Elephas maximus indicus: one gene and its partner. The protein of the gene in region 2 interacts with the protein of the main gene of each other region in a biochemical or structural test. Links are inferred from orthologs where the notes say so. Each region holds a gene or a part of one and is shown on either strand. Other genes may lie near its edges.

What was found.
Region 1: the proteins of DLG1 (region 2) and EVI5 interact in a test that uses a peptide from one of them, tested with the Homo sapiens proteins (2 studies listed by IntAct, with this or other methods). The link is inferred for Elephas maximus indicus from reciprocal best matches to the Homo sapiens genes DLG1 and EVI5.

What each region holds. Positions count from the first base shown.
Region 1 is NC_064821.1:149,459,417-149,463,162, forward strand, and holds the start of EVI5 (ecotropic viral integration site 5 protein homolog), read left to right. Parts: upstream 1-1,283; 5' UTR 1,284-1,727; coding exon 1,728-1,769; intron 1,770-3,746. UniProt on the Homo sapiens protein: Functions as a regulator of cell cycle progression by stabilizing the FBXO5 protein and promoting cyclin-A accumulation during interphase. May play a role in cytokinesis.
Region 2 is NC_064819.1:18,852,309-18,856,054, reverse strand, and holds the start of DLG1 (disks large homolog 1), read left to right. Parts: upstream 1-1,245; 5' UTR 1,246-1,419; intron 1,420-2,079; exon of another isoform or gene 2,080-2,169; intron 2,170-2,632; 5' UTR 2,633-2,663; coding exon 2,664-2,682; intron 2,683-3,352; coding exon 3,353-3,484; intron 3,485-3,746. UniProt on the Homo sapiens protein: Essential multidomain scaffolding protein required for normal development. Recruits channels, receptors and signaling molecules to discrete plasma membrane domains in polarized cells.

The sequences.
Region 1 (3,746 bases), on a different chromosome or scaffold from region 2:
AGGGGTTAGAGGGGACGTGGAGAAACCAATTAGAAGACTAGATCTGCAGCTCCGGACTAGTAGCTTAACTGGAGTGGTGGTGGAGCAGATAGATGGAGAGAAGAGGGCGGGCTCAAGGGAAAAATTGGGAGGTAGAGTCAGCAGGATTTGTTGACATCAAGGACGTCTCTTAGTTTATATGGAAAAATTTGCCTCATAAAATTGCGAATTTTTAAAGTTCTGAGCTGGGTGGAGGCCATTACTTTACTTCCTATGTTTTGGTGTTTCCTAACCTCGTTGAAAAAAAATGGAGTTTTTTTTCCTCTACTGAAATGCTTATTACAGATAACCAGGGAGATATCGGTAATGACTCTTGCATATGCAATGGGATAGGACGAGAATTAGCAGATTGTTTCCGTTCCAAAGTTAAGTACTTTCCTTCTAAGAATTTCTTCGTGGATGTTGGATGGCGGCCCAGTGGACGTCATTTATTTATGCCCAGGCTCTACCCCCTGCCGGACTCTGCATAGACCCTGTGTGAAGAGACTAGTGAGGGTGGAACGCTTTGCAATCACAAGTGCCACTTACACGTTGATTATTGTTATTGAGCCCAGGACGGCCTTTTGAAGCCTGAGCATCTGCGCCCCTCGCCCGCAGCCCAGGAAACAGGAGCGTGGGCGGTGCGGCAGTGCGCGCTCCGCAGCCCTAAGCGCCGGGTGGGATTGCGCTCTGAGGGGGTGCGCCTTCCGCAGCTTTAACATGGAAGGGGCGGTTCAAATGACTTGGGAAGTCGCAATTTGCAGGACTGAGGGCTGGTGCTTTGCAAGAAAAACGGAGAGGGAAGGATTTCCCCGCCCCCGCTTCGCTCCGTCCAATCCCTTCGGCTTCTCCTTTTCTTGGCCGGCCAGCCCGGCCCCTAACCTGCACGAATCTATTATGCGGTAGAGGCGGCCGGGTCTCTTTAAGGCCCTGCCGCGCCTGCGCCTTGGGTTTTCCTGACGCGGCCAGGCCGGACCCTGGAGAACCCGGCAGGCGGACGGGCGAAGGGCCGGACAGTGGTTGAGCCAGCGGCGGCATTCTGAGGGGTGGTGGGGGTCGGCGGAGGCCCCGAGTTCGTGAGTTAGTGCAGCACGCGTGAGACGGCGGCCCACGGATCCAGGAGCCGGGCCGAGGCGCTGGGACGCGCGACGGTGGCGCGGCTGCCGGCTGGATGGGAAGTTAATGTTTACAGCGGAGTTCACCCAACGTCTCCAAGGTGAGCGGCGCTGCGCCAGGCCGGGCGGGCCGCAAGCCCGGGCCCCGCGGGGGCGCACGGCGGGGCCCAGGCGCAGTGGGAAGGGGCTGCCGCCAAACTTGCCGAGTGAGCGGGCAGGCGTGCCAGACCCCGCCGGGGCCTAAGTTCCCTGCGCTCGCCTCCTTGCCTGCCGCTTGTCGGGATCCTCCTTCCGCGGGCGCCGGGGAAGAAACTCACCACCGGCGGGTTTTTCTGTAGAGTCCCAGAGGCGGAGGGACGGGGCAGCTTCGGGGCCCTGCACCCCAGCCCTCGAGGCCAGAAGTGGGTTCTCTCTGGGTGGCCTTGAGGGGATGATACCATCTGCGCCCCTTACCTGCAAAGTTGGAGACTCTATATAGCCTCCTTGGATTTTGCGTATGGCGGTGTCTACAGACAGGTGATGGGCATTCCAGGTGTGCCAGGTGACTCCAAGGATGCACTTGGGGAGGGTTTGTAGCCATCACTGAATCACCTTATGACTAGCGGGGCAAGCCTCAAATTAACCACAGGATTTCCGGTAGGTTGGATTGTGGTGTTGGTGTTGGCTCTAGAGTTGCTGTAACATTTTTGTGTTTTTTTCTGTCTTTTGGACGTCTCCTACCATCTCAGGTAGTATCCTTTCACCAAAGAGTTAACCAAAACTTTTGGAATGGTTCCCTCACTTTTCTCCTGTCTGTCGCTATTGGGGATGTTTTCGAAAAGCAGCCGCATTTTCTTGCAAAGATATCTCTTCTTTCGCTTACAATGTGGAATAATAAACTCCTTTCTTTGCTGTAAGAAGGAATTCCAGTGCTTCATGAAGTTCAAGAAAAATTATCTCTTGGTAGTTTTTACTTTGATTGTGGGCTGGTATGTATTAGTGGCATTTTTGTTCTTTAATTATATTTGTAAAATTTTATCAGTTTACCAGAAGCTTTTTCCTAGATCTCTGAGAACTTTGTGTCAGAGGAATCTTAGAAAGTTTATTGAGGTGCACAGAAAAAGTGCACAATTTTAAGTGTGCAGATAATGAATTTTTATGAAATGAACCACTGCACAAATCAAACCCAGTTGCCATTCTGTCTGTTCTGACTCCTGGCAACCCCATATGTATCAGAGTAGGACTTTGTGCATAGGATTTTCAATGGCTGATTTTTTGGAAGTAGATTGCCAGGACTTATATTTCGAGGCAGCTGTGGATGGACTCAGTCTCCAACCTTTTGGTTAGCAGCCCAGAGCGATAATTGTTTGCACCACCGAAGGACTCCAAGAGTATATACTGTATTCCTGTTGCCTTCCAGTCAAGTTTGACTCATAGTGACCCTATAGGACAGAGTAGAACTGCCCCATAGAGTTTCCAAGACTGTAATCTTTACAAAAGTGGACTGCCACACCTTTCTCCCTCAGAATGGCTAGTGGGTCTGACCATTCCGTTAGCAGCCAAGCGCCTAACCACTGCACCACCAGGACTCTTTCAGATATTGTGTGGAGGAGTGGAATCGCTGGTGTTAGACATGCTGGTGGCGCAAATGGGAAAGGTTGGTGGTTCAGTTCCAACCAGCATTTCCAGTGAGAAAGACCTGGTGATCTGCTCCCATAAGGATTCGAAAAAACAAACGAATGAACAAACTCTTTGTCGTCCAGTCGATTCCGACTCATAGCGACCCTATAGGACAGAGTAGAGCTGCCTCAGAGAGTTTCCAAGGATGGACTGGTAGATTCGAACTGCCAGCCTTTTGGATAGCAGCCTGAGATCTTAGCCACTGTGCCACCAGGGCTCCCTCATAAAGACTACAAACTAGAAAACTCTGTGGGGCTCTTCTGTGCTGTCACAAAGGGTTGCTGTGAGTCGAAAGCCAATTCCATCGCACCTAACAACAAGGTATGTGAATGATCAAACTTCAGTATTCATGCTATTGAACATTTTCCCTAAGTGGTTGTACCAAGTAGCAGGGAATAATAACCCAGTTGCCCTACATCATTGCTGGTGCTTGTCAGTGTAAAATTTTTTACTATTCTGGTAGAGGTGCAGTAATACATCACTATGAGGTACAGTAATATATCACTGTGATTTTATTTTGTGTTTTTTTCCTGATGATTGAGGTTGGGTATCTTTTACTGGCCATTTATATGACTTCATGTGAAGTGTCTGTTTAGTCTTTGCCCAGTTTTCCTTGGTATTCTTTTTTTTATTGATTTGTAATTTTTTATTAGGGATATGTGTTCTTTCTGGATATATATAAACCAGTAGCCTTTGTGTTGATTCCAACTCATGGTGATTCTGTGTGGTACAGAGCAGAACAGCACTGTGGCATTCATGCTGACTTTTCAGAAGCAGATTGTTTAGGGTGTGGGTGTATATCTGTGTGTGTATTTACACACACACACACAGCATTTATCTTTTTCCACTCTGTATCTTGCCGTTTCACTGTTTTAATGAATGGAAGTTCTTACTTTTAATGAAATGTTCTTTATTAATCTTTTCCTTTATGGTTACTACATTTTGTTTCCTAAG
Region 2 (3,746 bases):
TGAAGAGATTCCATTCTTAGGTTCCACTCCTTATCATTCCATTCACAGTTGATCGCTGAAGCTTGATCAATCGTAACACTCACACCATTAGTTATTTTCACTATTAAAAAACTTCCATCCTTCCATCCTGTTTCCTCCATGCATTGTTGCTTTAACTGTTGCTCAAGCTCCCAAGATGCTTGACCCAGAATAGCATAGCGATTTGCTCCCAATATACCAACACACCTCTGTCATGTTGTCTAAAATCGCACTGGAATGAGCCCTGGACTGGAGCTAGGATACCCTATTTCTGGGTCTGCTCTGTTACTGATTAGCCTGTATGTTCCTGGGCAATTTACCTCATCTCTCTGGACCTCAGTTTCTTTAACTTAAATCGAGAGAGCGGGTCTAGATGAGCTCTGAGGTCGTTAGGTTACAAGTTAGGATTCCGAAGTGCAACCCAGAAGTGAAACCCAGCCAGTGGTCAACCCAGCTCTGGGTAGCTGTTGCGGTTTCAATACGAAGTACCCGTGATGCAGTCTTAATGAAAGGCTGTCAGGTTTGCTAGGAAGAACCTTCCGGTTTTGTAAGACAGGAGCTCCGGGTTTCCAGTTCTGCCACTAATTCCGGGTGACCTTGGGCAAATCCTTTTCTCTGGACCTTAGAGAAGGGAGGTTCTTGTTATCCACAGACTAGAAGACCTGGGCTTTCCACGGTTCCCGTTCAACAATCCGGGTGGCTCTGCCCCAGAGCAGGATCCTGGCCCATTTTCCCTCTTCGAGATTCAGTCGAAACTTAGACCAGCCCTACTGGCTGAGGGCGGCTCAGCCTTGCAGGATTACAGGTGAACTCTTAAAGGGGCCACCAGAGTTTGGGTAATACCTGAGACTGATGGCTGGGCGAAGACGCAGGCGCAGGGGAATGAATGAGTGAGTGAATGAACCAACGAGCCTCCTCACCCTTAAATGCACTTATACTGGGAATTAGTCATTTAAAAAATTCTCTACTACATCTCTCAAAGTCTTACCAAATTACCCAATCTTCCTATTTTACGTGCCCTTCTTTAATTCAAAACTTCCAAACTCTTTATGAGGAGCGAAGAGTAACTTTGCAAAAACCAGTACAAAGTGTTGAGGTGGCACCCCCGCCCTAGCTCTTCTCCTTTTCTCCTCCCAATCCCCGCTGTCCCCGCCCCACACGTGGGTGGTGCGGTCTGCTCCTCCCCAATGCCGCTTCACCCGGCTGGGGACCCACCCCCGGGGGCGCCAGGCACTCTCGGCTGCCTCGGAGTTGGAAACAGCACGTGTTTAGTGAGGTTAAGGGTGTATACGAATGTGTGTGCTGGATCCAGTGTGAGGGAGGTCACGTCTCTTCAGACACCTGGACCCTTGCGGGCTCGGCGCGCTTTTAGCTCAGAACCGCGGGACACCGGTGGGCTAGGTAAAGGCGGGCTCTTCCATGGCTACCCGGGACCACCTGTAGAGTCTGCGTGTCAACTCCTTTGTCCTCGGCGCCACTTCAGTGGCCGCCCCTTTAAGGGAGAAGGATCACTTGGGACGCTCTCCGAGTCCCCCTGCCCGCGCCGCAGCCCCCTCCCGGCCCTGCTCCCCGTTTAACCCGAAGGTAGCAGCGCCGGGAGCCCCGGGCTCGGCGCGAGCCGCCTCCTCACTTCCCATTGGCTGAGAGCGCCGGGAACGCGGTCACGTGGGGGCGCGGCAGTCCAGCTCCGAGGCCGCCATCTTGGCGGAAAGTTTGGGGGGAGAGCGGTTGGGGGCGCGGAAGGAGGCGAGGTTCCGGGGGTGGGGCGGCCGGGAACGGAGAGGGCGAGCGGGCTAGCGGGCTGCGGCGAGCGCGGAGGCTGCGGCGGCGTTCGAGGAGGAGGGAGAGGCAGCGGGGGTGCGGCCGCGGAGGGGAGCTCCTCCCCCGTCCCCTCACCCCTCTCAGCTCAGCTCCTCGAGCCCCGGGCGGGGCGGGGGGACGTGGAGCAGGGCAGGGCGGGGCAGCCGCCCCGAGTCGCTTCGGAGCGCACCCCGCTCGGAGCCCACGCCTCTCGCAGGAACTTTGTGGCGGAGCCGCAGGTGTGGGGGACCGCGGAGGCGTGCATGTGGGGCGCGAGGGCGTCGCGGAGAGCGGCCGCTGTCCTGTCCGGGCCCCGCCGGAGTAGCCCGGAGAGAGCGAGCAAGGAGAAAGGCAAGCGAGAGGAGGGGGCTGGAACAGGGCGGGTGCTCAGCCCGGTGGGTCCCTTCGGGAGCGCTTGGCGGCCGCCGCTGGGCTGGCTCCGGGGCCAAGGGTCGGAGCGCCTCTTGACCCCTCCCCCCGTAGCAGGTGGCGAGGCCGGATACTGGGGCCAGGGTTGGGGAGGTGGCCCCAGGTCTAGGCGTTTAGTGTTCTTGGAGGAGGAGGAAGCTTTCGAGGAGAATTTGCAAGAATGCATTTCTGTGTGCTCTTCATCTGGAAGGGTACCCACCCCGAGGTGAAAGCCTTCTAGATTGATTGACAGCGCTGGGTTTTGAGTCCCTCCCTTTGACTTGGGAAAACTTTGCAAGGTGGGCTGTTCCAGTGGGCCTGGGAGTTTTTCCGATATGGAGTGTGGGGAGAAATGCTAGTTTAACGACGACTGTATTCTTTTTCCTTTGTGTTTGTGGCTTTAAAGGTGTGTGCCCTCTTCCTGATTCTGGAGGAAAATGCCGGTCCGGAAGCAAGGTGAGAATTTGTCTCAGAAGTGTCTCGTGTGGGTGTCACTTAGTTTTCCATGTATCTGTTTTGTGATTGTTACCTTTCAGAATGCTTGTGTAACTTTGATGAAACAGCACGGTCCTAGCTTTACGATTTGGGGAATTTAAGCTTCACTTTATTTCAGAAGAAACCTAAATGTTAAAACTTTTTCCTTGACAGCTCACCAGTTACTAGAGAGTCAGTTAATATTTTCTCCTGAAATCTTTCAACTCTGAATTGGTATTTTAGTGTGTCACTTTATACTTCTTACTATTTTGTGAGCAAATGTGGGATATTAAGTACTAGTATTTTGCAAATACTTAGGATTTGAGTTATAACGACAAATTGCAGCTTTTGCATGTCAGGTAATCTGAAATTATGTTGGTAATACCTTAATCTTTTACTGTGGCTGGCTACCAGCACACATTTATTAGAAATTACTCACCTGCCTCCTTTTTCTACTGTCAAGTAACGTGTTTAAAAAAATTTTTTTTGATCTTCCTGGAGACTGTACGTTTACATGTACCTGGTGACATCAGTTGACCTGGAGGATTTTGGGAATTGCTGAGATGTCTTGCACAATCATTTGTCTGCATAGCTAGTGGGTAATACTTTGTCGTGAATATATAATTTCAATCAGGCCTTTTTCTCCTTTTAGATACCCAGAGAGCGTTGCACCTTTTGGAAGAGTATCGTTCGAAACTAAGCCAAACTGAGGACAGGCAGCTCAGAAGTTCCATAGAGCGGGTTATCAACATATTTCAGAGCAACCTCTTTCAGGCTTTAATAGGTGAGAATAAAACTTTGTGACCGTTATGTGTCTATTAGGCGTAATCTTCCTTTGAATTCTGTTATTTTAAATCAAAGAGAATGAGGTACTTGGCTTTCTATGAGGCATTCATCACCTTGAATGTCTTCAGTGAGTTGTATGTTTTTGATACACCGGTATGTTTTCCGAAAATACCTAATAACCAGAATAATTTCAGCATGATTATACCAGTGGTCTTTGATAACAGTGTTTCATATCTTAGCATTAAGTATTAAAAGTATTA